Linked DNA regions of Canis lupus familiaris. The protein of the gene in region 7 interacts with the protein of the main gene of each other region in a pairwise test. Links are inferred from orthologs where the notes say so. Each region holds a gene or a part of one and is shown on either strand. Other genes may lie near its edges. The genes, in order: FIS1, DRAM1, SFT2D2, SLC30A2, GJA1, BIK and CREB3.

The links.
Region 1: the proteins of CREB3 (region 7) and FIS1 interact in a two-hybrid assay, tested with the Homo sapiens proteins (2 studies listed by BioGRID and IntAct). The two-hybrid records come from large-scale screens. The link is inferred for Canis lupus familiaris from reciprocal best matches to the Homo sapiens genes CREB3 and FIS1.
Region 2: the proteins of CREB3 (region 7) and DRAM1 interact in a two-hybrid assay, tested with the Homo sapiens proteins (2 studies listed by BioGRID and IntAct). The two-hybrid records come from large-scale screens. The link is inferred for Canis lupus familiaris from reciprocal best matches to the Homo sapiens genes CREB3 and DRAM1.
Region 3: the proteins of CREB3 (region 7) and SFT2D2 interact in a two-hybrid assay, tested with the Homo sapiens proteins (2 studies listed by BioGRID and IntAct). The two-hybrid records come from large-scale screens. The link is inferred for Canis lupus familiaris from reciprocal best matches to the Homo sapiens genes CREB3 and SFT2D2.
Region 4: the proteins of CREB3 (region 7) and SLC30A2 interact in binary tests that used the Homo sapiens proteins (3 or more experiments, as listed by UniProt). The two-hybrid records come from large-scale screens. The link is inferred for Canis lupus familiaris from reciprocal best matches to the Homo sapiens genes CREB3 and SLC30A2.
Region 5: the proteins of CREB3 (region 7) and GJA1 interact in binary tests that used the Homo sapiens proteins (3 or more experiments, as listed by UniProt). The two-hybrid records come from large-scale screens. The link is inferred for Canis lupus familiaris from reciprocal best matches to the Homo sapiens genes CREB3 and GJA1.
Region 6: the proteins of CREB3 (region 7) and BIK interact in a two-hybrid assay, tested with the Homo sapiens proteins (2 studies listed by BioGRID and IntAct). The two-hybrid records come from large-scale screens. The link is inferred for Canis lupus familiaris from reciprocal best matches to the Homo sapiens genes CREB3 and BIK.

Annotation. Positions count from the first base shown.
Region 1 is NC_049227.1:8,555,444-8,559,852, forward strand, and holds the start of FIS1 (mitochondrial fission 1 protein), read left to right. Parts: upstream 1-1,570; 5' UTR 1,571-1,686; coding exon 1,687-1,731; intron 1,732-2,615; coding exon 2,616-2,748; intron 2,749-4,120; coding exon 4,121-4,197; intron 4,198-4,409. UniProt on the Homo sapiens protein: Involved in the fragmentation of the mitochondrial network and its perinuclear clustering. Plays a minor role in the recruitment and association of the fission mediator dynamin-related protein 1 (DNM1L) to the mitochondrial surface and mitochondrial fission.
Region 2 is NC_049236.1:41,068,647-41,072,256, forward strand, and holds part of DRAM1 (DNA damage-regulated autophagy modulator protein 1), read left to right. Parts: intron 1-1,433; coding exon 1,434-1,576; intron 1,577-2,953; coding exon of another isoform or gene 2,954-3,116; intron 3,117-3,610. UniProt on the Homo sapiens protein: Lysosomal modulator of autophagy that plays a central role in p53/TP53-mediated apoptosis. Not involved in p73/TP73-mediated autophagy.
Region 3 is NC_049228.1:30,200,897-30,204,506, reverse strand, and holds part of SFT2D2 (vesicle transport protein SFT2B), read left to right. Parts: intron 1-2,196; coding exon 2,197-2,283; intron 2,284-2,526; coding exon 2,527-2,612; intron 2,613-3,610. UniProt on the Homo sapiens protein: May be involved in fusion of retrograde transport vesicles derived from an endocytic compartment with the Golgi complex.
Region 4 is NC_049223.1:73,317,732-73,322,005, forward strand, and holds the start of SLC30A2 (zinc transporter 2), read left to right. Parts: upstream 1-1,415; 5' UTR 1,416-1,486; coding exon 1,487-1,536; exon of another isoform or gene 1,537-1,629; intron 1,630-2,201; coding exon 2,202-2,422; intron 2,423-3,149; coding exon 3,150-3,296; intron 3,297-4,015; coding exon 4,016-4,169; intron 4,170-4,274.
Region 5 is NC_049222.1:61,513,710-61,517,978, reverse strand, and holds the start of GJA1 (gap junction alpha-1 protein), read right to left. Parts: upstream 2,842-4,269; 5' UTR 2,826-2,841; coding exon 1,677-2,825; 3' UTR 165-1,676; intron 123-164; 3' UTR 1-122. UniProt on the Homo sapiens protein: Gap junction protein that acts as a regulator of bladder capacity. A gap junction consists of a cluster of closely packed pairs of transmembrane channels, the connexons, through which materials of low MW diffuse from one cell to a neighboring cell.
Region 6 is NC_049231.1:23,375,591-23,378,681, reverse strand, and holds the end of BIK (bcl-2-interacting killer), read left to right. Parts: intron 1-171; coding exon 172-279; intron 280-933; coding exon 934-1,051; intron 1,052-1,933; coding exon 1,934-2,023; 3' UTR 2,024-2,490; downstream 2,491-3,091.
Region 7 is NC_049232.1:52,553,974-52,558,131, reverse strand, and holds the start of CREB3 (cyclic AMP-responsive element-binding protein 3), read right to left. Parts: upstream 2,889-4,158; 5' UTR 2,493-2,888; coding exon 2,400-2,492; intron 2,295-2,399; coding exon 2,147-2,294; intron 2,058-2,146; coding exon 1,990-2,057; intron 1,876-1,989; coding exon 1,786-1,875; intron 1-1,785. UniProt on the Homo sapiens protein: Endoplasmic reticulum (ER)-bound sequence-specific transcription factor that directly binds DNA and activates transcription. Plays a role in the unfolded protein response (UPR), promoting cell survival versus ER stress-induced apoptotic cell death.

The DNA.
Region 1 (4,409 bases), on a different chromosome or scaffold from region 7:
CAAATTGAGTATCTACTGGTGGTGAGCCCTGAGTTGGGCCCTAAGTGCATCATAGGAGCAACAGAGACATAGACCCTACTTCTCATGTAGCTTCTAGTCTCAAATGAGAGGGTGTCATCCATCAAGTTATCACACAAATGTATAATTACAAACTGACAAATAGTGTGAATTTAAAATACTGGCCACTACCCAAGACTGTGAAACCAGTATTACAATATCAGCAGCATTGGTGGTAGTTTGTGGGGTTTCATTTTTAATCTTCCTACTGTACTTGAAACAAATGGTTTCTCAGGATTGCTTTTCCTTCTAGGTTTCAAATTAACCTGAGTTGTTCCTAGTTTACCCTGGTGCTTAAGGGAAGTCCTCTACTGTATATCACCAAAATTTTACAAATTTACACCTGAATTTCTTCAAGATGAATAGCAGAGTGTACTTAGGAACTTGTCCTATCCTCTCCTCTTCATTCTTTAACAGACTCCCCATATCAAAGTCATTTCATTTGGAGCTAAGTAGAGAATATCCCTTGCTGACCTAACTCACAAGGCTATTAAGAGAATTAAAATAGATAAATAAATAAAGGGGCTTTGCAAACATGAAAGGTGTTTGGATCACAATTCCCTGCATTTGCATCCCCCTCTTTACTATGTTCACTTTATTTCATGTCTATTTGACAAATATTTATTGGACCTCAATCTTGTGCCAGGTGCTAGGGATGCAAAGATAAATAAGATCCAGGCTCTGTCCTCATGGAACTTACACTGTGCCCTGGAGCACTGTGGGTGAAGGTGAAAAGAATGAAAGTCACTACCTACCCAGTCCCCTCACTGCACAGCACAGGTGCCAGAGGAGTGAACATTTACCTTTCCCATGTTTTGATGTTCCTGCCCATGACCCACAGCACATCTTCCCCCTCAGGCACACCCAAAGGATGCTCTAAGTATTAAAAGATTGGACCATCTCTACAAGTAATGGGGTAACAGCTTTTCTTTAAATTCACATTTTAAGATTTTTATTTATTTATTTATTTATTTATTTATTTATTTATTTATTTTACATTTTAAGATTTCCATAGTATCCCCTATTCATATGTATTCCAGTCTCTGGGTGTATGGTTAACAGGTCCAGTTGTCAATCCTCTCGTAAGTCAGCAGAGGCCCTAAAAACCTTGGTACCAGGTTATGGTTTTGTGACAGGCACCCAAATGTAACGTAGCCTCCAATTTCCTAGACTTAGAGGGGGTGAGGCCGGAGGGGAAGTGATCCCCCAAACTTCAAGATCATGCCAGGTTCTCCACCATCCTTTTTCTGTTTTTCCAGCCCAAGGGCTAACCACCAAGACATAGGCCCAAACTCTATTAAGGCAGCCTCGGTGGAGGAGGGCACACGCGCGGCACCCGCGAGGACAAACGTGGGACTTAGAGCTGTCGGCAGGTGGGGGAACAAGGTGGTCCGGTCGGAGCGTGCGCATTAGTGCCCCAAGGTGTGCGCTGACGGCGCTGGGAGGAAGGGGCGGGGCGCCACCGGCAGTGGGCGGGCTTGGCATCAGCTGCGTGAGGTGATTGGCTCTGCGCTGGGGAGGGGGCCTACTTCCGCCGGACGACGGAAGTGGCTCTCCAGCCCTGCCAGTAGGCCATGGAGACGGTGGCACAGTAGCGACTTAGGTGTGAGGATTGCAGGGGCGGCGGCCATGGAGGCCGTACTGAACGAGCTGGTGTCTGTGGACGACCTGCTGGTGAGGCCTGGCCCCGAGGGAGGGAAAGGGAACCTTCGGACGGGCGGGTCCCGAGGAGAGTCCGGTTGGGGCCAGACCCTCTACCCAGCATCAGTTTAGCCTAGAGAAGCCGAACTACGGCTCCCGGCATCCTCTGCAGCGCCCTGCCCCTGCCCGGTGGTTCTACTTTGTCGCGTACCCTAATGGGAGTTGTAGTTTCCCGGGCCACCACGCCCCAGACTCAGGGCCTGCTTGTCTGGCGTGGAAAGGCTGACAGGTTCTGGGCTCGTGCAGGAGTTAGGTCAGAGTGCGGACACCTTCTTCCCCCCTCCCCACCCCACTATTCCTTTAGTGTCGGGAGAGTATAGAGACTACCTTGAAGTTTCATATAATGCGGCACGGTGCTAAATGCATTGCAGGTCGTATCTCAATTTTTGTAGCTCTAGGAGGTGGGCACTGTTTTAATTCCCATTTTGCAGATAAGAAAAGGTCCAGACCCGACCAGGGGGCTGGTTGGGGGAAGCAGCCACCGACGAGGGATCGCGTGGGCTGTTGTTGAGCAGTTCTGACAGCATGTTTACTGTTTAGCCGCTCCCGGTCAGCTGGTTCCGGAGCGGTGCCTGGAGCCGCCACCAGGTGGCCCTTCCGCTCGGTACCACTAGGGGGAGGGACACGGACCGGGGTACTGTCCAAGGAGACAGCCCGCCGCTAAGAAGCAGGATGCCTGGGTCTGGGTCCAAGGGATGAAGGTAGCAGAACCTGGGAGGCCAGATGTCAAGATCCGCGAGGGAAATGTGGCAGAGACTGTGGAAGATGGGGTGTGACTGGGAAATGGACACGCAGGGCCTGGTAGAGAATGGCGTGCCTCTTCATTTCTAAATGACTCCTCTCCTCTCCTATGGCAGAAGTTTGAAAAGAAATTTCAATCTGAGAAGGCAGCAGGCTCCGTGTCCAAGAGCACGCAGTTTGAGTATGCCTGGTGCCTGGTGCGCAGCAAGTACAACGACGACATCCGTAAAGGCATCGCATTGCTGGAGGGTGAGGTGCTAGGCTACGCGGCTCTCCCCTTCTCTGCCGCCATGGCCTCGTTCACTCCCTCCATCTAAAGTGCTGGGATCCCTTTTCAACATGGGACCCTAGAGGAGTCACCTCACAGTTAGTTTCCCATAAACACCTGCAACAAAGGGCTGCCCCTTAGCCTGGCTTCTCCCAGTGTGCTTTTGGCTAATTACCACCTCATCCCTGTTTTGCCAGTCAGCGCAGGACAGTCCCAGCAGGACTTAGGCGATCTGGTAGTTGACCATAAGGAACTTGTTAGAGGTCACACAGCTAATGAATTAGTGGCTGAATTAGGACTAGAAGCGCCTGTCTTGTGTGTCCCAGTCCCTTGCTCCTTGTCCCCACCATGTTGCTTATTCAGCAGCTGTTGAAAATTTTTCACGAGGGTGGCGTGGAAGAAGTGCAGAAGACAGTCTCCAAAACCTGTGAGCAGATGGTCCTTTTTTTTATTGGAATCCTACTTCCCCTTGGTTTGGGATGGGTCACCATTTGTCAGAGGTACGCAGCACATGAGCTTTAAATTTCTCTGTGCCCTGCATCCCCTTTCTCTTGGTCAGTAATCATGTACTAAAATGGTGTACAGCCAAAAGGTGGCCATGGTAAATCTATGAAAACAAGAATCTTTTCTGATGCAAATCACTTCCACCTATGTTTGCCCCTTTCGCTCATTCAGATTTTTCAGGTTTCCTGCAGAGCAGTGCACAGCTGTAGGTGTGGTCTCCTAAGCATCGCCAGTCCTGTTGAGGAGACAGGACAGACACTTGGGAAGATTTGTCAACACTTGCCAAACTACTTAGCCACACAGATCCCATTGCACAGCATACAACTGAGCACATAAGCCTATGAGAAGTCCCTGAATTAGGAGAGAGTCAGGTTGCATCATTCAGGGAATGCTAATTGAAGATGAGTTTCTTTCTTTCTTTTTTTTTTTTTTTTGAAGATGAGTTTCAAGTTGCTTTTTTTAAAGGGGGAGGGAGTGCAGACTTACTTGAACACTAATCTGGGCAGCAAACAAGGGCAGTGAGAATGCACAGCAGGTGCCAAAGTGAGTCGAGATGCCTTTGGCTTCTCCAGTGCCTTGATTTCCTCTCAGTTTACTGAGATGAACCAGAGCTGACGGCAGTATTGAGATCAGGGTGTTGATCACCCCGGTGTCCAGCAGCCTGGGTCCACACTGCCTGAGAGGTCCGACTGGGAAGTCGAGAGTCACTGGAACTGAAACGGAAGCTCAGGACAGTGACTTTCTCCCCGGATCATACAGGGAGTCAGAGAGTGGAAGGGGTCCCTGACACACAAGCACTAGGAAAGGTGAGAAGTAGTTTTCACCCTCTTCCCTTCCCACCTTCCCTAGAACTGCTGCCCAAGGGGAGTAAGGAGGAGCAGCGGGATTATGTCTTCTACCTGGCTGTGGGGAATTACCGGCTCAAGGTAAGGCAGATTGCCCCTTTTCCTACCCCTCCCTACTTGGGTGGGCCACCGGCATCCTCTCATTTCTCCACCAGGGGAGAGCCCTGGCCATTGGGAAGGCCGAAGAGGGCCATGGGCAGGGGGTACAGAGGTGCAGGGTGATGGCAGGCCAGGTCACTGAGGGAAAGTGAGAGCCGAAGGATCCAACTGCCAAGGGTGTGGGGAGCAAGGTG
Region 2 (3,610 bases), on a different chromosome or scaffold from region 7:
ATGTGAAGCCTGGAGGCTATTTCTGATTTTTGCAATTTTCCATGCTCAAGTGAATATTCTTTATTTTTTGGTGAATATTCTTTTAAATACATCTTTGCATATTGATGTAAGTTCCCCTATAAGGTACATTTGCTGAGTAAGAGTTCATACATATCTAAAACTGTGATAGCCATCCATGTAGTCAACATTCAGTTTGTAGGTGCCTAGGGTGTGGTAGGCTCTGTGTTTATTCTTAGTGCTAGGGACCCAGCTGCAGAAAGACAAGGACCCTGCGGTTGCGGAGATTAGTTTGTGACTTTACTCTCCAAACCAGTAAGTGGTATTTGGTTAATTGATGAGCTCTTCAAAAAAAAAAAAACACCTTTAAGTACTCTCCTGACACCATTCACAAAAATCAACAGCAATGAAAGGATTAACCATGCAAAGCAAAACTGTGAGATAATAAAGAATAGGAAAGTGCTCTTAAAACCTGAGGGTGGAAACTCTTATCTGAGCTTACACAAAACCCAGAAGCTAAACAGGAAAGGACTGACGGATATAGAAGATAAAGAAATTAAAACTTCAAAGTGAGAAAGATACAGAAAACAAAGTTAAAGATGGACTAGAAGAAAATTTGTAATATTTACGGCAGATAATCCACTAAAGTACATAATGTGTGAAAAGCAACAGCAAATTAAAAACAAACAGACAAAGTCAAGAGAAAAATCAGGAAAAAAAATTGAATGTGATTTTCAGAAGAAGAAATGCAGGTGACCAGTAGACATACTGAAAGTTTTCCATCTCACTAATCACCAGAGAAATGCAGATTAAATCAACAGGTTGCGATTTCTCCTTCATTAGATTGGCGATAATTAAAAAGGCAAGAACATGCAGACCTGCTTTCGAGCTTTACTGTGAGAGTATAAGTGCCACAAAACCGTGTTGGGGCGATTTGTGGATACTTCTTGGTATTTTACTAGTGCACACTTTTAGCTCCAGTAATACTACTCCTAGGAACTCGTCTTTCAGAAGCACTGAAAGTGTGCTGAAGCCTTGTGTACAAGGCTTCTCACTGAGCATTGCTGGTAACAGGGAAAACACTGGCGATGTAGGAGCCCGACATGAGGGGGCAACAGACTAAATCAATAGGGCGATGAGACCTGTAAACGCAGTGAGACAGTGATGCAGGGCGAGCTCCACGGTGGTGTACTTTATGTGAGAGAGAAAGAAAGTCACAGGATATGTGCACAGTAGCTTTACATGAAAAGGGCAAAAGGCAAGCTGGTGTGTGTGTCTGTCTGTCACACGGAGGCGGAATAGGGGGTGAATGGGAAATGACGGCAATTAGGAGACTGAAGTAGAGACTCAAAAAAAGCAATGCAAACTGTCCCTGTGGTTTTCGTTCTGAAAGGTCAAATAGTCACAATTCAGCAAAGTGCCTTTTATCCTTCCAGGTGCAGCCACGATGTACACGAGATATAAAATAGTGGAGAAGCAAAATCAAACCAGCTATTTCAGCACTCCTGTTTTTAACTTGGTGTCGCTAGTGCTCGGCTTGGTGGGCTGTATCGGAATGGGCATCGTGGCCAATTTCCAGGTACGTCCTCGGTTGTTGGCACCCTAGCGGCTGAGGGGGCACGTGGAGGGCAACAGCAAGGGTAGAGGCTGCCTGTGTGGTGGGGGGGGGGGGCAAGCATTTAAGTGGGGTAGGTTGCTTCCTAGAAACAGGTCTTTATCATCTGAAGGTCCCTGCAGGGGAGACTGGGCGGGCGGCGTGGGGGGCATGGGGAACCCGTTGCGCTCAGCAGTGATCAGCCAGGTTGATGGTGGGAGAGGCCTTGGGTCACTGGGACAGCTCCGTTAAGTGTGGAAATATTGGGGGTGCCCGGGGAGCTCTGTTGCTTGAGCCTCCGAGTCCTGATTTCCACTCAGATGGTGATCCCAGGGGCCCTGGGGGCCCGGGATGGAGCTTGTCCCTGTCCCTCTGCACCTCCCCCCGCCTGGGCTCACTCACTCTCTCTCTCTCAAGTCAATAAATTAAATCTTTTTAAAAAAGAGTATGAAGATATTTGTGTGCACGAGCATGTGTGCGCAGGTTCGCAGAGCGGCCTCCGCCCGGCAGCCTCGCCTGCCCGGGTTACTCAGCGCCCTCACCTGGGAGCCCAGGCCTCGGGGCGGCCTGTATGTGCTCTGCAGTCCGCTCCTCCCACAGCAGGTGGGGGGCAGTCCCGGGTCTGTCCAGCCTGTGGCCACTGGCTCCTCCCGGCCTCGTTCTGGAAGCATGGGAGCTGTTTGTCCATGGAGACAACATTTCATGTTTTAAAAATACTCATTGTATATCGGGTTTGCAAAGGGGATGGGGAGGGCTCCGCGCCACGCTCCGGGCCCAGCAGGCTGAGGGGGGGCCACCGCGGCGGTCGCCGGCACAGGCTAGCACTGCTTGGCGGGCTCCGCTCCCCACTGCGGTGTCTTTGCGGCTGCACAGAGGCCGAAACTCCGGAGGGCTCATGCTCCTGCCCATGGACACCGCCTTACAGAATTTTCCCGTCTTGCATGAGGCTTATTTTCTAAAGAGGTGTTGGCCTTGGCCCCTGGCCACCGCTGTCCCTCGCCAGAGCCAGGCCGGGCGCTGCACCTGTTCCATCCACTGTCCGCTCTCCGTGCACCTGCCGGTGCCCCTGCTGCACAATGTCAGGAGCGTCACTGTCGGGCAGTCTGTTCCACCTTCACGCATGCTCTCACTGCCCGCGGGGGTGCCGCCTATGGGGGTCCACCGGCTGCAGGGGGGTTGCTGGCTGCGGGGGCTGGGGACAGCACAGTGCTGTGGGAAACTTAGCACCGCGCTGTGAGGGGTGAGGGGTGAGGGGGGTGGACACCTTCCTGACTGCGCGGCTGCTCCTGGGCGCTCTGCAGGGCAGATAATCTCTTGGGTCTCAGGGCTCACGAGTTTGCTTTGCTTTGCTTTGCTTTCTAGGGAGGGGTGTGTGTGTGCAGAGCGAGAGAGGGAATCCCAAGCAGGCTCCACGCTCAGCCCAGAGCTCCAGGCAGGGCTCCCTCCCGTGACCCTGAGGTCAGGACCCGAGCTGAAATGAAGAGTCGGACACTTTACCAATGGAGCCACCCAGGCGTCCCACGAGGTTTCATTCTTGAATGTTCTAAAGCCCCAATCATTGTTTCCTCGTTGACACTGAAAGGTGCAAAGGGGAGAGACAGGTTGTACCTCCACAGGCAAGTGCACAGGGCTCGGTGGAGCGCACTGTGCAAGTAGATTTGCCTCTTGCTCCATTTGACTTTCCTACCCTCGTTGTGCTTTTATGGTGAAATAAGACAAAGGCTATAGCACATGGTTTCAGGTGACTTTGGTCACATGGGGAGACTCTTTTTCATGATCGTGTGCACTTGGTTTTTCATGACAACTGATTTATTGAAAATTTCCTATGTGACAGAATTTATGAAAACCTTCCGTGCTTTAACTTCTGTCATCCCCATAACAGCCTCAGGAGACAGGTGGTGTCCTGGTCCTGGTTGCCAGGGGACACGTGGGCCTGACGGGTCATTCTGTGTCCCGGTCGAGCATGGCAGGGCAGCCGCGGTGGGGATGGAAGCCACCGGCCAGCAATGGTAGGAACCG
Region 3 (3,610 bases), on a different chromosome or scaffold from region 7:
CACAGTTTCCAGCAGCCATGAATTTAGAGAGGCATTTTCTATCAACTGAGTTCATTTTTGTAAATTGGCGAAAAGGAGTGCTTAGCTCTCACTGAGACCAGTTGGAAGAAGTGGAACAGCACTTTCCTCTTGCTGTGACCAAGCGTGTAAAAGACTTGCAGTGACTCTGGGTGGGAAAGCACACGGATGAATAGTTATCTGTCCCTCTCCCCTCATTTTGCCAAGTTGGATGACGTGTGGATGGAAATTCAGCTTGAGGGACTTGTAGAATCAACATGTCACTTTCCTTTCTGAAGGAAGAAACCAGAACTGCTTTTTCCTTGTGTCAGCTTGATCTTTACGAGGACTGGAATCTCACTGTCCTGTTGAGACCTTTTAGTACTCTAAATGCCAAGGCCACCTCAAACTTGACACTTAACCTTATGGTTTATCCTCTTAAAATATCCCTCCTGATGCCAAATAGTGCTCGAGCCATGAATCTAATCCAGTTCTGTTGTCACACTTGTCTCCCTGTGCGCAGGTCAGTTCTTACTTTCTACCTTGGCAAAGTAAGCTCTTTGTTTCTTGCATGAGTAGGAAGAGTGGTGTCTTCTGATTTTATTTTCTTCTTGATGGCATCTTGAATATGTTAGAAGTCAGACCTGATTGTCCAGGTGCCTGTCCAGCCTGGTGACAGGGCATCATGTACCTCATTTTGGAGGAGGGGTTTTCCTCAGCGTGGAAGCAGGTGGCCCATCTGTGAGGTCCCGATATCCTGTTCCTACTGTGTGTTACCATCCCCAGTGGTGCCTTTCTGTGCAGTGTCCATTGGTGCCACATGCTTCTGCAAGTGCTGTGTGTGTGATGGGGAATTGCAGTGTCATGAACCCCCTTTAAATATGTGTGAATAGAGGCGCGCCTGGGTAGCTTAGTCGGTGAGGCATCCGACTTGTGATTTTGGCTCATATTATGATCTCAGGGTGGTGAGAGCGAGCCCTGTGTCAGGCTCTGTGCTAGGCGTGGAGCCTGCTGAAGGTCCTCTATTGCTCCTTCTGTCTGTCCCCCTCTCCCTTTCTTAAAACGAAACAAAAATATATGATTATATATAGTTGGAGGAAAAGCTGTTTTGATAACCTGCCCTGAATACTACCTTTCTCCCGAAGAAATGAAGCCATTCTGTAGCAATGCTGGCCACCCCTGGGAGAGCCACTAGTCCTTCTCTTCAAGCTTCTAGTTTGGTAGGAAGTTTGGAGACACGATTGAGAACAGTCCCTGAGCTGGGAACAGTCAAGGCTGAAGGAGTTGCCGGTCCAGCGGCCCTTGCAGCTTCTGCTACCACTTTCCTTCTTGAGCTGGTGGGAGTGTTTTCTGGCAGCTTTCTCTCATTGCGGGATGGAGACTGGGGGGCCAGACAAGGTGAGCCTTGTGTGAATACACTGGCTGGCTAGGCAGGACTTGCAGTCTCAGTGGCAGCTGCCTGTCCCCAGCTTGAAGCAGCCATGGCCCCTTTCATGAGGTGGACAGACTAGGAAGGTCTCTTGCCTAAGTTCTCTACACATGGGGGAAAAACTTGTGGGGGCTACTTGCAGGCTGCCCTGTTTTAGCAGAGCTGTTTTGGGAAATCTTGGCATCCTCTGAACTTTGCTCTGGGGAGGGATTAATTACAGTCAGATGAGTGGGGCAGTAATGAATTAACTAGGATTTGTCTCCCACTTGGGTGACTTGGCTGGTGCCAGAAGTGAATAGATTCAGCTGAAAGCCCTGGCACAGATGACAGCTGTTAATCCTTTGGGCTCTCAGAGATGCTGCTGTCTGCTGTCTTGCCCCCGCTTGCCGGGCCCCTGCCTGGCGGGGGTCGTGCCTGTGCAGTTGTCCTTGTCCTGCCACGGCTATGGCAAGGGTTCTGGCTTCTCTAGGGCCTACTGTCTTGCCTTACTGTGTGCGAAGTGGTTGTGCTTCAGGTGGAGAGTTTCCACCTCTGGGGATGTTCATCTAGAAGCTCAGTAACCTCTTAGCCGCTGCTGGAGAAGATTCATGGATGGATAAGGAGCTGGATTCCATGACTCGGCTCCTGTAGCTCTGAGTGAGTGAGTCGGATTCTTTGCTCCTGCCTTCCTCAGCACAGACTCACACACTACATCTCACTACTAAATCTCATTGTTTTTGGTGCTCAAATATGCATATACATGTATGTAATCAGTTTTTAAAAAATTTCAGGTTGTTGAGGCATCTTCATTAAGCTGGAGTACCAGAATAAAAGGCTTCATCGCGTGTTTTGCCGCAGGAATTGTCTGCTCACTACTGGTAAGATGTTCCTCCCCCCCACCCCCCTCAGCTTTTCCCCACCCTGTCCCTCCTTCCCTCCATCTCTGTTGTTCACTTCCTTCTCTCTTTTGCTCTTTGTGAGAAGCATGGCTGGGAGAGAGAGATAAGGGAGGTGCTGAGGGCGGTGGGAGGGGAGAGTGGGTGTCTCTGTCCACCCTTGATTATATGGCTGTGGCAGGAGGGCTTTCTCCCCGTGCAAACGCCCTGTGCTTTACCTTCCAGGGAACTCTTCTGCTCTGGGTGCCCAGGAAGGGACTGTACCTCTTTGCAGTGTTTTATACCTTTGGTAACATCGCATCAATTGGGAGGTAACTGTTTATTTATTTTTAATCTAACCATAGCCAATCACTAGATGGGACAATGGGTGTGGATTGTGCTCAAGGAAGATGAAGGAGGATGCTTTATTTTTTTTAAATTTTATTTTTTAAAGATTTATTTATTCATGATAGACTCAACAGAGAGAGGCAGAGACATAGGTAGAGGGAGAAGCAGGCTCCTTGCAGGAAGCCCGATACAGGACTCGATCCCAAATCCTGGGATCATATCCTGAGCCACCCAGGTATCCCAGGAGGATGCTTTAATAGTTCGAAGGATGTGGTGAGTAGTAGTTAAAATACATCACATCCCCCCCAAAATAACATACATCTTATATCCTATCCCTTCAAAATATTTTAGCATATATATGTATTTTTTAAAGATTTTATTTTGAGATGGCTGGGTGGCTCAGTTGTTTAAGCATCTGACTTTGGCTTGAGTCATGATTTTGGGGTCCTGGGATCTAACACTGCATTGGGACTCCCCACTGAGCCTGCTTCTCCTTCTGTCTCTCCCCCTGCTTGTGCTCTCTTTCAAATAAATACATAAATAAAATCTTGTTTTTGAGAGGGAGAGAGAGGGATTGTGCATGAGCGCATGAGGGGTTTATAGGGGAGGAGCAGAAGAGAGGGACAAGCAGACTCCGGGGTTAGTGTGGATCCCGACACAGGGCTCGATCCCACAACCCTCAGATCATGACCAAAATCAAGTTTTCGGACATTTAACTGACTGAGCCACCCAGGCGCCCCACCCTGATATTTTTTATCTTAGTTTATTTTTGAAATCCCCTGGGATAAATTTATTGTGATTTTTATATATGAGGGAACCGTGGCACACAGTGGTTGAATGATTTCTTCCGGCTTGACAGCACGATCCTCTCTGCACTCTGGCCTGCAGCTGCCAGAGATTGAGTGGTGGTTTTAAAAGGCTCACCGCACCAGAGGCTGCAGGTGTGATGTATTATTATTCTGTCCAGATAAGACCATCTCAG
Region 4 (4,274 bases), on a different chromosome or scaffold from region 7:
GAGAGGCAGAGACGTAGGCAGAGGGAGAAGCAGGCTCCCACAGGAAGCCCGATGATAGACTTGATCTCTGGACTCTGGGATCATGATTCAAGCCAAAGGCTCAACCGCTGAGCCACCCAGGCGTCCCAGAAACCTGCATTTAAACACCTTTTCCAAGTACTGCTGATTTGGACTGGTTTTTAGACTATACCAGGAAAACCACAAAACCTAAGGTAAACGTTTTTCACAGAGTCCAGAGGAGGTGGAAAGGCACTCAGTGGGGACCCAGTCTAGGGCGGCATGGTGCTGCCATCCTCTCTCCTTGCACCTAGTCTCCAAATAAAATGACTTTTGTCTGGGAGAGACTGAGGTGTCCCTTTTTATCCCCAGCGGTGTGGACAAGTGACTTGCACCTGAGACACTTGTCTACGTGAAGGGACATTGCCAAGCCACGGTCCCCTAGACCAAGGACACTGGGGATGATGGAGTGACTGGGCAGAGAGGTCAGCAGTCCGGAGTTCTTTCTATATAATCCATCAGAGTTCATCCATTAGGCTAGGCCATAAGGTCCTGACACCACCTCCCCCAAGGGACCGCTGTGAGAGGACACAGCTTAAAGTGGGTGGTGGGTGCACCAGGCCAACACAGGCAGCTTCTCCCGCGGAACACCACGTACGGCACCTTCCTGGGGCTTCTGTGAGATGCTGCGGGGCAGGGAAGGGAGGGTGGCGGTGATTCTTTGCAGATGGTCACTGCTGCTGAAGGGCCACACTGCTCCGTGTAGGGTGGAGATAAAGCCACTCCAGATAGCAATCGGGGCGCGCGGGAGGCGGGAGTCACAGCCAGTCAGTCACAGCCAGTCCCAAGGAGGCCCTTGCCCCAGGCCCAGGGCGGGCACGTCCCGCCCCAGGAGACCCCTAGCCCGAGCCCAAGAACGCAGCCGGCCTCAGGAGTCTCCAGCCTGAGGGCAAGACACACCTGGCCTCGGGAGCCGCATTCCTGTTCTCAGGGGACCCAATCCCACAAACGGAGCTCGGCGAACTCCTGGGCGGGATGCGGCGGGCCGAGCGCGGGGGAGAGTGCGCGCAGCCGCCGCCCAGTCCCAAGTCGGGCGGGGGCGGCTCCTCGCGGCCCGGGGGCGCCGGGGCCGAGCGCTCGGGGCAGCGCCGGGGAACCCTTTGCGGCCGGCCTGCCCTCCCCCACCCCGCGGCCTTTTGCACACGACGCGCAGCTTCACACGGGGAGGCCGGGGCCGGATAAAGCGGCGGGCGCGGGGCGCAGCGGCGGGCGCGCACGGGCTGCGGGGGCCGGGGCTGCAGGGGGCCGGCCGGGCGCGGCGCGGGCGGGAGCGGCGGCGGGAAGCAGCCGGCGGGCGGGCGGGCGGCGAGCGGGGCCCTCCCGGCAGGTGGGTGCGCGCTGCGCGGGGGCCCGCCCGCAACTCCCAGGGCGCACGGGACGCGGCGGCGGCGCGCGGCTGCCCGGACCCCGCGGGGGCGGCCCGGGCCGCATGGAGCCCACGGAGAAGCAGCACCTGGTGGACACCAAGTCCGGAACCCGGTAAGGCGGGAGCCGCGGGGCCCAGGGCGCGGCGTCGGGCGCATCTCCTGGTTCGCCGCGGGCTGGACGGTTTGGCCGGCGGCTCGGCCGGGCCCACGCGGAGGGGGCGGCGGGAGGCGGGGGAGGGGATGCCGAGCTCGGGCGGGGGGATCAGCCCCCCACCTCGCGACTGAGCCGGGAGCCTGACCCCCGCGCGCTGGTGCGCTGTCGCGTGCCTGGAGCCCCGCCCCCGCCCCACACTTTGCCCCCGGGCAGTCCCGCCCTGGGAGGCCCTGGGTCCCCAGGTGCACAAGAGGGGCGCCTGCCCTCCTCCCTGAGCCTGAGCTCTGTTCCTTCTCCGTGCTTGGCTGCGCTGGCCCTGCGCCTTGGCTAGTGCCCAAGGTCTTTGCCTCCTCCGGGCCCCGGGACGGGAGAGGGGGGCGGGGGGGGGGGGGAGGGACACCCTGGGCCAAGACCCCGAGACTCCTGGACTGTCATTTCCCCAGCACCCCGACTCCACACATGAGTTTCTGGTTACCCTTCAGTGACGGTCGGGCTTGGCGTGCCCCTCGCTACTCTTTTCGTTGGACACATGGGAACCCCAGGCCCACAGAGAGAGGACTGAGTCGGCCCTCCTTGCCCCCCACTCAGAGCTGAGTCCGCCCTCTCCCGTCCTCTCCGGCCAGGTCTTACACGGGATCTCTGTGGCAGGAGGGGACTGGCTGGATCCCTCTGCCCTCACCTGGCCTGGACTTGCAGGCCATTGAGTTAGTCGCTGAGAGTAACCATTACTGTCATGCCCAGAAGGGTCCTGCCAGTCACCTCGAGCCCAAGAAGGAGCGGGCCCGGCGACAGCTTTATGTGGCCTCTGCCATCTGCCTGGTGTTCATGATTGGGGAAATCGTTGGTAAGGACTTTTGTGCTAATTAAATGAAATTGGGTACATGGATAGTCTCATGATCCAAAAGGCTTTCCTCCAGGATGTTCTCAGTAATATTATACTAGTAGCCCCCGGGGCGTCTTGCCTGACTCCGGTAGAGTATGTACCACTTGATCTCAGGGTCGTGAGTTCAAGCCCCACGCTGGGTGTGGAGCCTATTTAATTAAACAAAACAAAACAAAAACTAGTAGCCCCATTTATTGAATATTCACTATGCTGTTGAATATTCAGTACACTGAGTCTTTCATATACAGGTTTTCTCATCCGGTCCTCATGACAAGCTTGTATTGTCATGTGGGTGCTGCTATTCTTCTTTTACAGATGATGAAACTGAGGCACATTAGGGTTAAGTAATTTGCTCAAGGTCACACACATCCAGTGTGTAAGGGATGGCCTGAATAATGCCTAGAAGGAAAGACCATTTACTGAGTGCCTACTATGCTTTCCAGGCCCTATTTGAACTTGATTTTGACAATCACCTTCTAAGTAGATCGTGTCAGTCCCATTTCACAGACAGAAGTTGAGGCTTAGAGAAAGTCACTTGCCCGTGGTTACACAGCTATTGGGTCCAGAGGTCCCAAATCCACAGTCTTTCTCCAGAACCTGTGATTTCTCTGCTGCATGCCCAGTCTGGGAAGTTGGCTCCATGAGGAGCTGATAAAACTTTTCCGTTTCCCTGGTCCTGCTCCTGCAGGTGGGTACCTAGCTCACAGCTTGGCAGTCATGACCGACGCAGCCCACCTGCTCACCGATTTTGCCAGCATGCTCGTCAGTCTCTTTTCTCTCTGGATGTCCTCCCGACCAGCCACCAAGACTATGAACTTTGGCTGGCAGCGAGCTGGTAAGGACCCTGGTTGGGGTGCGGATGGGATTGGAAGAAGGGGTAGGTCAAGACATAGGTTCTTTGGTGGCTGCCATAGGTGGATCCCTGAGTGAGTCCAGGAGGGTGATTTGGGTTGGGGAAGAGGATGTGAGTTGTGGCTTCTGACTTCTGCTAGGTCCTAGTCTGATGGGGGAGCCCTGGCTCCCTGTCCTCTGGGAACTTCTGGTCTGCAGGGAAGGAGAGTTCACTTTCCTAAGAAATGAAATGGCCAGACTTCAAGAACGAATGACAGTGGAATCAACTCTGCACGTAATTCCATGTGGAATAATTTCCTCTGGGGGGAAAGGCCAGCAAAGCCTTCTGGAAGATATAGGCTTTAAAACCCTTTTGGTTCATCTCTGAGCTGCATTGTCATTTTCTTCATGGGGGATGGCCCAGTCTCCCATCAGAAGCCTCAGTTTGTCAGCTGAGCAATAGGTACATATTTTAGAAAGTCAGTTTCTTTACAAAAAGGGTTGACTTCATAAACTCCTTCTAGCTCTGATGTGATCTGACATATGTGTGGTGAGGTAAGGTATGACCATGCCAGCCATACCGTCCGCAGAGCCGAGGTGGATCCAGGCCCTGACTTTGCAGGGGAGGGGCGGAGGGATCATGGAGGGATGAGAGATGGGGAGGCCTCCTCAGTCTTCAGGCCCCACGCTAAGATTGGTGTTGGGGGTTGGGTTCTTCCTCAGAGATCCTGGGAGCCCTGCTCTCTGTACTGTCCATCTGGGTCGTGACTGGAGTGCTGGTGTTCCTGGCAGTGGAGCGGCTAATCTCTGGGGACTATGAGATCGAAGGGGGGACCATGCTGATCACATCGGGCTGTGCTGTGGCCGTGAATATCATGTGAGTGTGGCCTCAGTTCCCTGTGAGGCCTCCCTCCCACTTTTCACACACACATCTGCACACCTGCTCTCAGTGGAAGGAGGCCATGCATAGGCCGCAGGACGA
Region 5 (4,269 bases), on a different chromosome or scaffold from region 7:
AACAAATTAGTATTTTTCATTGTACAAAACTGTTTATGTAGCTGACATGCAAGAAGAAAAGTATGATACTCCGCATTTTTACTAATCATCTCTGATGAGTTTTAAAAAGGCATTTGAAGAAACTGGTAGATTTCTTTAGGGTACATTTCAAATAAATTAGTTACATGGTAGATTTCTTTAGGGTACATTTCAAATAAATTAGTTACATGTGTACTACTGAAACCTCTTTCAACCTCTCTTGCATTCCAAATAAAATCTTAGTGCAAACATCAAAGTTGCTGGTCATTCCAAAAGACAATCTAACTCTTAACAGTATACAAGTTCTGAATTAATGTGTATTAAGTAGGACAAAACCAAGAATACCAGTTACTGCAAAATTCATTTAGGCACACTTAAAAGCCCACTCTAAGCATTTCTTCTAAGTGTCTCACATTAATTACTAAAGCCTGTTTACAGTACTAAAATTCTATCATTCAAGCATCCATGATTACATTTCAGAAAAAGAAAATCATCCATTTCAGCAATAGCATTACTGCTATATTCTAAAAAAGAGAAAAAAGGGAAAAAATCATAATTAACAAAACCAGTATCCACAATAGGATACATGGGAAAAAAACACTTAGGGAAAGAAAAAAAAAGTGTGCTTTACTTGCACAGCAGGAATTATATAATGTAAACACCATATTGGCCCACACCACAAAATCCATGAGAAAGGCTCAAATTTGAACACTATGTGTGCATTATTTTCAAATCTGTGTTTGTGAGTTTATACTGCTCTGCTTGTACCAATACATGACAAATAAAACACACTCTTCCACACACATACACATAGAAGTGATTGTTAAATATTGAGCATGGCTTGATTCCCTGACTCTAATTCAAAAAATGTTAAGTGATATCCCCACGGTTTTAAAAATCTTTACAGAAACCATTAAATGAATGTGAACAGTTGTTGAGGAATGATGAAAAAGTGATGGCATTAATAGGATGCAAGTAGATGTTAAAAAAAAATAATGTACATATGACTGGCTGAGATTTGAAAATGCATGGAAAGTCTTTTTTCTGTGGGCCCTATCTGAACTTTTAACTGATACCAAGAATAGAAAATATAGTATCACAAGTCCACAGACACCTGGAGGGTCCCACCTAGGACGCTTACCTTCAAAGTGCAAATTTTAACAATGGAATGTTTTTTAGCAGGGACATAAGGACAATCCTCCAACTTCTTCTTGATAAAAGGAAACAAGATGTCCAGGAAGTATTTTTCTTTTTTCCCGGCCAAAGTTATCTCAGTTTCATGGTAAAACAAAAAAGTACTTAACCAAATATATCACCCACTCTTTCACATATACAGCACTATTCTTAGGGTGTGTGGGGGGGAGAAAAAGCCCTTACCTATGTATCACCTAATGCAACTTATATTTAGAACTAAAGTTCTTTGAATAAACTACATTAAATACCAACTTGTACCTCCCGGTTCCCCTCCCTCTCCACCCGCCTATCCCAAACACCCCCAGTGAACCCAGGTATTCTAATGTCTTTGTGTTTTCTAAGCCTCACGATGAAGGCTGTTGAGTACCACCTCCACTGAAACAAAATGAACGCCTAAGGTGCGCTTTCTACAGCACCTTTTCTCTTCTCCACACTGAGTGGAATCAATGCTCTCAAGCCTGGATCTAGATCTCCAGGTCGTCAGGCCGAGGTCGGCTGCTGGCACGGCTGCTGGCTCTGCTGGAAGGCCGCTGGTCCACAATGGCTAGTGGCTGCAGTTCATGCCCAGCGGCTAGTTTTTTAGAATTCTGGTTGTCATCAGGGAAATCAAAAGGCTGTGCATGGGAGTTGGAGATGGTGCTTCCTGCCTGGCCCATTCGATTTTGTTCTGCACTGTAGTTAGCCCAGTTTTGCTCACTTGCTTGTTTGTTGTAATTGCGGCAGGAAGAATTATTTCTGTCTCCAGTAACCAGCTTGTACCCAGGAGGAGACATGGGGGAGAGGGGAGCCGTGGGTGAGGAGCAGCCATTGAAATATGCATATTTCGGAGATCCACAGTCTTTGGAGGGGCTCAGTGGGCCAGTGGTAGCATGGTAAGGATCGCTCTTGCCTTTCACGCGATCCTTAACACCCTTGAAGAAGACATAGAAGAGTTCGATGATGTTCAAGGCAAGAGACACCAAGGACACGACCAGCATGAAGATGATGAAGATGGTTTTCTCCGTGGGGCGAGAGAGGAAGCAGTCTACCTGATGAGGGCAGGGTTCTCTTTTGCAAGTGTAAACGGCACTCAAGCTGAATCCATAGATGTACCACTGGATCAGCAAGAAGGCCACCTCGAAAACAGACTTGAACAGGATGCTGATGATGTAGGTTCGCAGCAGGCCCCCTCGCATTTTCACCTTGCCGTGCTCTTCAATTCCATACTTGAACTTCTTTATTTCAATCTGCTTCAAGTGCATGTCCACGTTGGCACCATCGGTTTGGGCAACTTTGAGCTCCTCCTCTTTCTTGTTCAGTTTCTCTTCCTTGCGCATCACGTAGAACACATGAGCCAGGTACAAGAGTGTGGGGACAGACACAAATATGATCTGCAGGACCCAGAAGCGTACATGAGAGATTGGGAAGGATTTGTCATAGCAGACATTTTCACAACCAGGCTGTTGAGTGTTACAACGAAAGGCAGACTGCTCATCACCCCAGGCCGACTCAACCGCTGTCCCCAGTAGCAGAATTCGGAAAATGAAAAGGACAGACAGCCACACCTTCCCTCCAGCGGTGGAATAGGCTTGAACCTTGTCAAGGAGTTTGCCTAAGGCACTCCAGTCACCCATGTTGCCGGGGCACCACCTGAAAAGAAACGAAAGACAACTAAATGATCACAGACTGTAAAGTATGAGTTAAAATGTATAGTTGTCTCCAGTTGAGAGTCAAAATAAGATAAAAGGTCTCCTATCTTTCTAGCACTCTTCCAAATTAAAAAAAAAAAAAAAAATAAGTTCAAACTCTTCCTGTCCCATTTCCCCCTGCAAACAAGTCTCACAATTTTCTTGAGATATGGTAAATCTTAGAAGCAATAGAGCCGATGTCCCCAGTAAATGGCAATCTTAACTTGCAAAGGACAGGTTAACTTGCTCAACCACTGCCCCACCATGTGACTCGAAAAACTGTCTATGCTAAGTGCCTCTGCTTATTTTATCCGTCTGATAAATGAGGGCAATTCTTGCCGGGTAGGCCTGTGTCTGGATGCATGCCTAAGCAAAATGCTGAAAGGACGGTTTTCAAAAAGTACAGGTGTTTAAGAACTGAAGTAAGAACGCCCCTGAACACACACACACACACACACAAACACACACACACACAACCTTGTTTCCAAACCTCCATCCTATTATATAGAATTTTATCCCTAATTGTACTCTGAACTGTTTCACCTTGCTCGTTCAAGTGTAATTAGTGCATATTTTATAATAGGGTCATTTATACTTCTCTGTTTCTTCTTAAGCAGTGACTTAGGTGGTTCAGAAGTCTGTCTTCTGCCCAGAGAAAAATATGTTGTACTAAAATACGCCATTTTGACACGATGTGTCATTATGTGCAGGAAACTACTTTCAAAAAAGCAAAGTCTAAATGCACATCACATTTTTTTAAAGATTTATTTTATTTTAGAGAGAGAAAGAGAGAGAGTGCATGAGCAAATAAGCATGAGTGGGGGTGGAGAAGACTCCCTCCTGAGTGCAGAGCCCCACATGGGGGCTCGATCTCAAGACCCATGAGATCATGATGGGAGCCAGAGCGAGCCGGAGACCTGACCCACTGAGCCACCCCGGTGCTCCTGCGCATCACATTTCAAGTAAAAGTTCAATTTGTCTCAATACTAATTATAGCTTAAGAAATTTTTTTAAATTACCATCTTAAAGTGTTATCTCTAGCAAAAATGATTGGTTTTCATCTTTAAATTACTATATACCTTCAAGTTCCCTTATCAGGCTTTGCACCCTCATCCTATACACTAGATTTAACTTTCTATCAATACCTAGATATCTTAAGCCTAGGACTTCCCCATTGTTGGGAGTGTGAAATGGACTCAATTCTGTAGAGATGACATGGATGTCAAAAGTTACTTGGCTAATTTAATTTATACTTCTAATTGCCCATAGTTCATTTAACTGATGAAAGTTGAGCTCTTAAAGGTATAGGAAATATTCAGCTACCAGTAGAGCTACAAGACTAATGATCCCAAGACTAAGGACTTCCAATGCACCACACACTGGTTTTAAA
Region 6 (3,091 bases), on a different chromosome or scaffold from region 7:
TTCTGGAGCAAAGTGGGGGCCAGGGGAGGGGCATGTGAAGGTTCCCTGCCCCCCACCTTGCTCTGTGCCGCCCCTTGCCTCCCACAAATCCGGGGCCCGGTGGGCCAGGTGGGCCTGTGTATGGGGGTCACCACACGGCCACACCCCTAATTCCCTGTGCCCTCCCCACAGCAACAACCCCGACGATGTGGCCATGCGGCTGGCCTTCATCGGGGACGAGATGGAAGTGAGATGGATGCTTCCCCGCGTTGGCGAGCTGCCCGGGATGGCCATGTACAGGTGGTGCCCCCCCCAGCCCTCCACCTCCTGCCCCGCCCCTGCCCCTGGGCCACAGACTAAGCACAACCCAGTGCCTTCCTCTGCCTCTTCATCAAGCCAAGACTGTGCTTTTCCGAAAGGGTCTTGACTTAAAGTGCTGGTAGGAAGTGGTGAGCTTGGCGAAGCCGTGTGTCCTGCCGGGAGGCATCTGTCCTGAGCACACTGTGTACTTCCACCATTTGCCAGCATCTCTGGGTTCTCAAGGTGGGGATGTGGAAACCCTCCCCCTAAGCCAGAGCGACTGTGGTCTCCTGGTCCCCAGGGAGGCAGCCTTCTGTTGGGGTGCCTGGGCCTCCATCACAGCAAAGATCCTCCGGAGGGAGGACCGGCAGGTCCTTGGGCCGGTGAGCAGTGGAGCATTTTCCAGAACCCAAGACCAAAACCCCCGGTAGGCCGGTGGGTAGGGGAAGGAAACAGGAAATCAGATGCATTAGGACCAGAAATGGCCCGTGGAGAGAGAACCTCTGGTGGATCCACCCGGGGAAGGGGGTAGAGTGGTGTGGGGGGGAGGGGACGCCGCCCTCCTCTCCCCGCGGGGGTCCCCTGAAATAAAGGCCATCTCCGCCCCTGTTCCCTGCAGTAATGGCCCTGCTTCCCTGCCCATTTGTCTTACAGCTTGGCTTTTACCTACAACCAGACAGGCCTGAGAGGTGTTCTTAGAAGTTTCCTGGATGGTCTTGCTAACCTCAGGGAGAACATCCGCATCTGGAGCTTCCTGACCTTCCGGAACAGGGTAAATGAACCGTGAACTCTGTGACCTTGACTTACCCGCCTGCCTGCGGTGACACCTGCAGCCACGGAGCTGCTGCCCCGCAGAGCATGTCCTCGGGTGCCACAGACTGCTCCTCCCCGCCCCCCGTTGTCTTGTGGTGCCTGCTTGCCCTCGTTTCTCCCGGTTTTCAGCTTGGAGACCCCTGGTTTATCAGCTCCATGCTCCGGTTCTTTTTTTCTTTTTTTAAGATTTTATTTACTTATTAATGAGAGACACACACACACAGAGGCAGACACACAGGCAGAGGGAGAAGCAGGCTCCGTGCGTGTGGGAGCCCGATGCGGGACTCGATCCCGGGCCTGCAGGATCATGCCCTGGGCTGAAGGCGGCGCTAAACCGCTGAGCCTCCTGGGCTGCCCCCCACCCTATGCTCCAGTTCTCAGGCGTGTTTGCTCCCACACCCATGCTCCGGCTCCCCACCCACCCCCCGGGAGCACCTTCACCAGCCCCGCGTGAGCCTCCCTAACCATCCTCGCTCCTCTGCCCGGCAGGTGCCTCTCCTGAGCCTCTTTCCCGACCCTCCTTGTCTGTCCCAGCAGCACCGGGGACCGTCCCTTACCCTAGCTCAGCCCCCACTGGTGCCCACGGCGGCCTGGGTAGGCTTCTCCTCTGCCGCCTCCCGGGCCGTCTCCCCGGCCCACCTGTGCTCTGGCTTCTGGGTGCTGTCCCCACCTGTGAGCTGTGCTGTCCGGAGACGCTCCTGTGTCCCCGCCTCCCTGACCCACTCTCCAGCACCCTCTCAGCCACCCTGGTTCACCCCGTGCCCCTGAGCACACGTGGGGGGCACCTGAGCACCCCCGGCCCCGGCTGGAGGTCTCACCTCTCCCGCCCTTCATCCCACAGGTGTCCCCCAACCCGGGGCGCGGGCTGGTGCTGTCGCTGCTGCTGCTGCTGGTGCTGCTACTAGGCTGGGGCCTCCGCCTCCTCCAGTGATACCAGCTGGAGCCGCTGGGGACGGGGCTGGCCTCGCCCCCGCCCGACCGCCACCCTGGAGGTGGCCTTGCTGGTTTTGTTGTCTTTTTTAACTGTTTTCTGCTGATCCCTTTTTTTATATTTAAACTCCGAGTGCTGGGACACTACTGAGGTTTCATACTAGTTTTTTCTTTCTTTTTTGTAAGAGAAATGAATTCATTATACCTCGGGGGTCGTTACTGGTTAACTGCCCGCGCCAAGGCCTGGCTGGGCCGCTCTCCTGGCCTCAGCCCCTGAGGTGGCCTGGGTGCTGTCACTGCCACCACCACCCGGCAGGGAAGGAGCCTGGAGCCTTCCTCTGGCGGCGGGGGTTGGGGGGGGAGTGCTGGCCACACCCCCATGTCGGGAAGGCCCCTGGGCGAAGAGAAAATCTGCTGGAATAGATTTGATGGCTGAGGAGAGCTCAATAAAATGTTGTTTCCAGCTGGTCTCTGGTCCTCTCTGGGGTTTGCCGCCCGGCTCTGGCCCCTTGCTGGAGACTCAAGGGGGAGGGGGAGAGAGGGCGGGCGTGTGCAAGCACCTGTACGTGATCACACACCTGCAGGCTCTTTCCTGCACCTGCTGTCGTGAAGTTTGGCCCAACACAATCAGGTTTATGCCTTCTCTCGTCGTGCCTGGTGCCTGAATCTACCATTAGGGATTATTTCCTTTGGGCCTTCAGTCTTACAGCTGGGCTGCCTGCCCTCCCCAGGTTTGCTCATCCAGCACTCCCCGCTGGACAGTGCGGCCTGCAGGGAGAAGGGGCTAGATGAGGGGCACCCCCGTGAGGGTCCAGCCTGCCCCAGACCTGGGCCCAGTGCTGTTTCTAGACCCAGTCAGGTCCTCTTTCTGGAACTTGGGCTCTGACTGTCCCCCTGCCCCACCACAGTTCCCGTCTCAGATGCCAGCCCTGGGCTGGGCCCCCCCTTGCTCCAGCCCCGTGCCCACGTCCTCTGCAGCTGCCTCTTCGGGGCCTGCCCTCCGCTAGCCCCAGAGCCCATGAAAGCCCATCTGGCATGTGCAGCTACATGCCTCCCTCCGGCCAGGCTG
Region 7 (4,158 bases):
CCTGGGATCAAATCCCACATCAGGCCTACCTCAAGGAGCCTGCTTCTCCTTCTGCCTATGTCTCTGTCTCTCTCTGTGTCTCTCATGAATAAATAAATAAAATCTTTAAAAATAAAAACAAAACAAAAAATCTTGGGGCACCTGGGTGGCTCAGTTGGTTAGGAGTCTGACTCCTGATTTGACTTCAGCTCAGGTCATGATCTCAGGATCATGGGATGGAGTGCCGCGTTGGGCTTTGTGATTAACAGGGAGTCCACTTGAGATTTTCATTCTCTCTCCCTTGCTTTCTGCCCCACCCTGCTGCTTGCATGCACAAGCACAATCTCTCTTTAAAATAAGGAAACCGGGATCCCTAGGTGGCGCAGCGGTTTGGCGCCTGCCTTTGGCCCAGGGCGCAATCCTGGAGACCTGGGATTGAATCCCACATCGGGCTCCCGGTGCATGGAGCCTGATTCTTCCTCTGCCTCTGTCTTTGCCCCTCTCTCTCTCTCTCTCTCTGTGACTATCATAAATAAATAAAAATAAAAAAAAAAAGATTTAAAATAAATAAACCTTTAAAAAAAAATCTTTAAATTTTCCTTATCCTAAGCTAACCGACATCTGCCTCTATGATTTCTATCAATTGAACTTACCTGGTACCTATCTCTGAGACCATATAGAATGAAGGTTTTTTTTTTGTTTTTTTTTTTAAGATCTTATTACTTATTCATGAGAGACACACACACAGAGAGAGAGAGGCAGAGACACAGGCAGTGAGAGAAGCAGGCTCCACGCAGGGAGCCTGCTGTGGGTCTCGATCCCGGGTCTGCAGGATCACGCTCTGGGCTGAAGGCAGGTGCTAAACTGCTGAGCCACCCAGGGATCCCAGAATGAACAGTCTTTAATTTAAGCCATTTAACATTTCTTCAGAGTTAAAAGATCTGGGCAAAAATTTTAACTTCTCGGGATGCCTGGGTGGCTCAGCAGGTTAGTACCTCCCTTCAGCCCAGGGCACGATCCTGGAGTCCCAGGATCAAGTCCCATATCGGGCTCCCTGCATAGAGCCTGCTTCTCCCGCTGCCTGTGTCTCTGCCTCTCTCTGTGTGTCTCTCATGAATAAATAAGTAAAATCTTAAAAAAAAAAAAATTAACTTCTCACCTCTCTTCGGGATGGACTGCATCCTCTTAATATCTGTCAAAGATCTGGGTTCAAAACTAGACACTAAGATGTGCTCTGGCCAGTATAATGGAGAAGAAGATGGTCACTGCCCTTCTAGAGGCAACACCTCTACTGATACAGCCTTCAAACCCCACTCTCTGTCATCTCAAACTAACCCATCTTGTACTTTTAAGAAAATTCTCTCAACCTTCCTGTAGTGTTGGTTTCACAACAGTACCACAATACTGTGCTTGTGAAGCTGCTATTCATTGCCTGAAACTTAAAACTTGGGATTTTACAATTATTCTTGCTATATTACTTAGTCCAGCCTTGATGAACTCTAACCATTTAGCTACAGGTGGATTACCATGAGTTTGCTTGCACAGTCCCTTCCAAGACCCTACACTAATGTTGCATCGATGATTTTGAATTCTTCTCAAAGAAAACACCAAAACTTGTATGAGCCCCACAAAACCAGGATCTGCCTCTGCATCCACCATATTAACATCATGCTCCAGCTTCCTATTACCAACAAATTTGCCAAGTTTTCTAACCTCAGTCCTTCCTGACATAAAGTTAACAGAAGTGCACACTTGGGATCCACAACACATCCCTCCAGCCTTCACTCCCACCAATGGGAGTCTTACCTTAGTAAGAGGAAGCGTCCCATGCAGAGTAAGCCCCTCCTTCTCCAACAGCCTCTTCTCTTCATCTGTCAGTATCAGCCTAGCAATCTCCTGGGATTAGTTACCAGGAGGTGGGCAGCAGAGTTGCAAGGGGATGACAGAAAGGAATGGGGAATCCGCCCCCACCCGCGCAATGTGGGAATGATCCCGCCATAAATCAAGTACCTGCTCTGCGGGCTCCTCCACTTGCAGTGGGGTCGTCTGGGCCTCTTCTTTTCCATAGCTCCCACCATCTGCAAAACGAAAAGTATAAATAGCCAGACCCACGAAGCCTCTCCTCCCCTCAAACCTCACTTTCTTCCTCATCATATTTCAGACTCACCTAGATCTATGGAAACATGCTGTTGTGAGAGAGAGTAGGTGTGATCATGGTGCACGAGACAGGAATCAGAGGAGCTAAGGACGTTCAACGATGCTGGGGGACTCAGCATGGAACTCAGGAAATCCTCTGCCTCCCATTCACTCAACGCCTGCACAGGGTTCAAATAAACAAGCCTTGACCTATCAACTACCCACCACCCCATGAACGCTCTCCCGGGATCCCCGCGCCTCCCCGGCTCGCAGCCCCCACCCACCTCGGAAAGCGGCGGCCCGGCCCCCAAATCGCCGCTTTCCTCTAGCAGGAAATCCAGCAGGTCCTGGTCACCCAAGTCCAACGCCAGCTCCATACCGGATAACAACCGGAAAGATGTACAGAGAGACCTATCCGCAAGCCCGGACCTGTCGCTCTGAAATTGCACCAGCCCCCAAGACCCGATTCTCCGCAACTTCCAACACCACGGAAGTGACGCGCACACCCCCGAGGCACCACGGGATTTGGAGTTCCCTCCGACGCGGAAGTGGCCTAGCCGCGGCGCGCCACGTCCCGGGAGCTCTGCAAATAGAGGGGACGTCCCTGCGGCCTCCTCACACCCTGAGGGCGGGCAATCTGGGAGGCCGCCTCCGCCTCGGCCCCAGGCTGAAAAAAAAGGAAGGGTTAGAGACCAAAGGGGAACTCGCGCGCAGTTCGGGCGTCTTCCCGGATTGCGCCGCACCCTTGTTTCCTGCCGGGGGAGCCGGCCGGGGGGCGGGGGGGGGCGCCTTTTTAAGGCCGGCTCCCGAGCATCGAGAGCTGGGGCCAGAGCAGCTTCCTGTTGCCCCCACAACCATAGAGCGCGGGCCCAGGGCGCCGCCCGCGGGTGGGGGACGTTCCGGGGACGGAAGTGGCCGAGAGAGTGTCGAAGGGAGGGCGAGGCCGAAGCCCGATTACCACCGGGAGAGCGAGCGGGTTATCGGGCCGGCGGGCGGGGCACGAGCCGGGCAGCGCAGGTAGGCCGGACCGGGCCGAGCCGGAGCCTCAGGGTGGGGCCGCACGGCCAGGACCGGGAAGCGAGCGCGAGCGCGGGTGGCAGCGCGGGTGGCAGGGCGGGCGGGGCCCTTGCGTCCGCTGTTTCGGGTCCTGTTGGAGAGGTCAGCGTCCAGTGTATCTCGGCTTGGGATCGGAAGTTAAGTAGGTCGTTTTAAGGGAGCCAAGCCTTTCCTGGGATCAAGTCCTCTCTGTCTGGAATAAGTTTTGGGGAGGGTGAGGAGTTGGGTGACAGTGAGGCGCAGGGCGGGGATCGGCTTTGAGGTTAGCTGATAGTGAGTATGCGGGTAGGAAAGCTGGGGGTGAGTTTGGGAATTAGGTAGAGTTGGGTTTAGGAATTAAAGGTTAGCTTACGGAGTTAAAAACCGGAGTTGACATTTAGAGTTACCAGTGTGAGTCGGGTCCGTTTTATGTAGGTAGAGTTTGGATTAGGTCATTATTCTGTTTCTGGCCAACGTAAGTCAAAGTTAGGGTTCAGGGCCGGTTTAAGGGTCAACACAGGATTTAAATTAGAAGTCCAGTTTTTTAGGGATTAGAGAACATTAGCATGGAACTAGGGATAAATCGCGAAGGGATGGATCAGAAGTCAAGTGAGACAACAGTTTTAGGCTTAGAGATCAACATTTAGAGTTAAGGTCAGGAAATTCATTCCTAGAGGTAAAAAGTAGATCAATATTAGGGATCAAGGATTGGGGACGGGTGTCTGCCAGGAAAGGGATGAATGTCAAAGCCAGTGTTGGGAAACAGGAACCAAATTAGGGTCAGGGTTAATATTAGGGATTAGGGTTAGTTTTATGGGGGTTATGGCTGAGGTTAGGGTAGCTGACCTTGGATATATTGAATTTAAGAGATTGGCAGTAGGTAGGTGCTCTCGTTTTGCAGGGAGGTCTCATTCCTACGTAGTTTCAGGGGTTCTCTAGCCCAGAGATAGGATAAACTCATTTCAGGTTAGGGATCTGGGCTTCAACTAGAATTGCAGGTATCTGGGA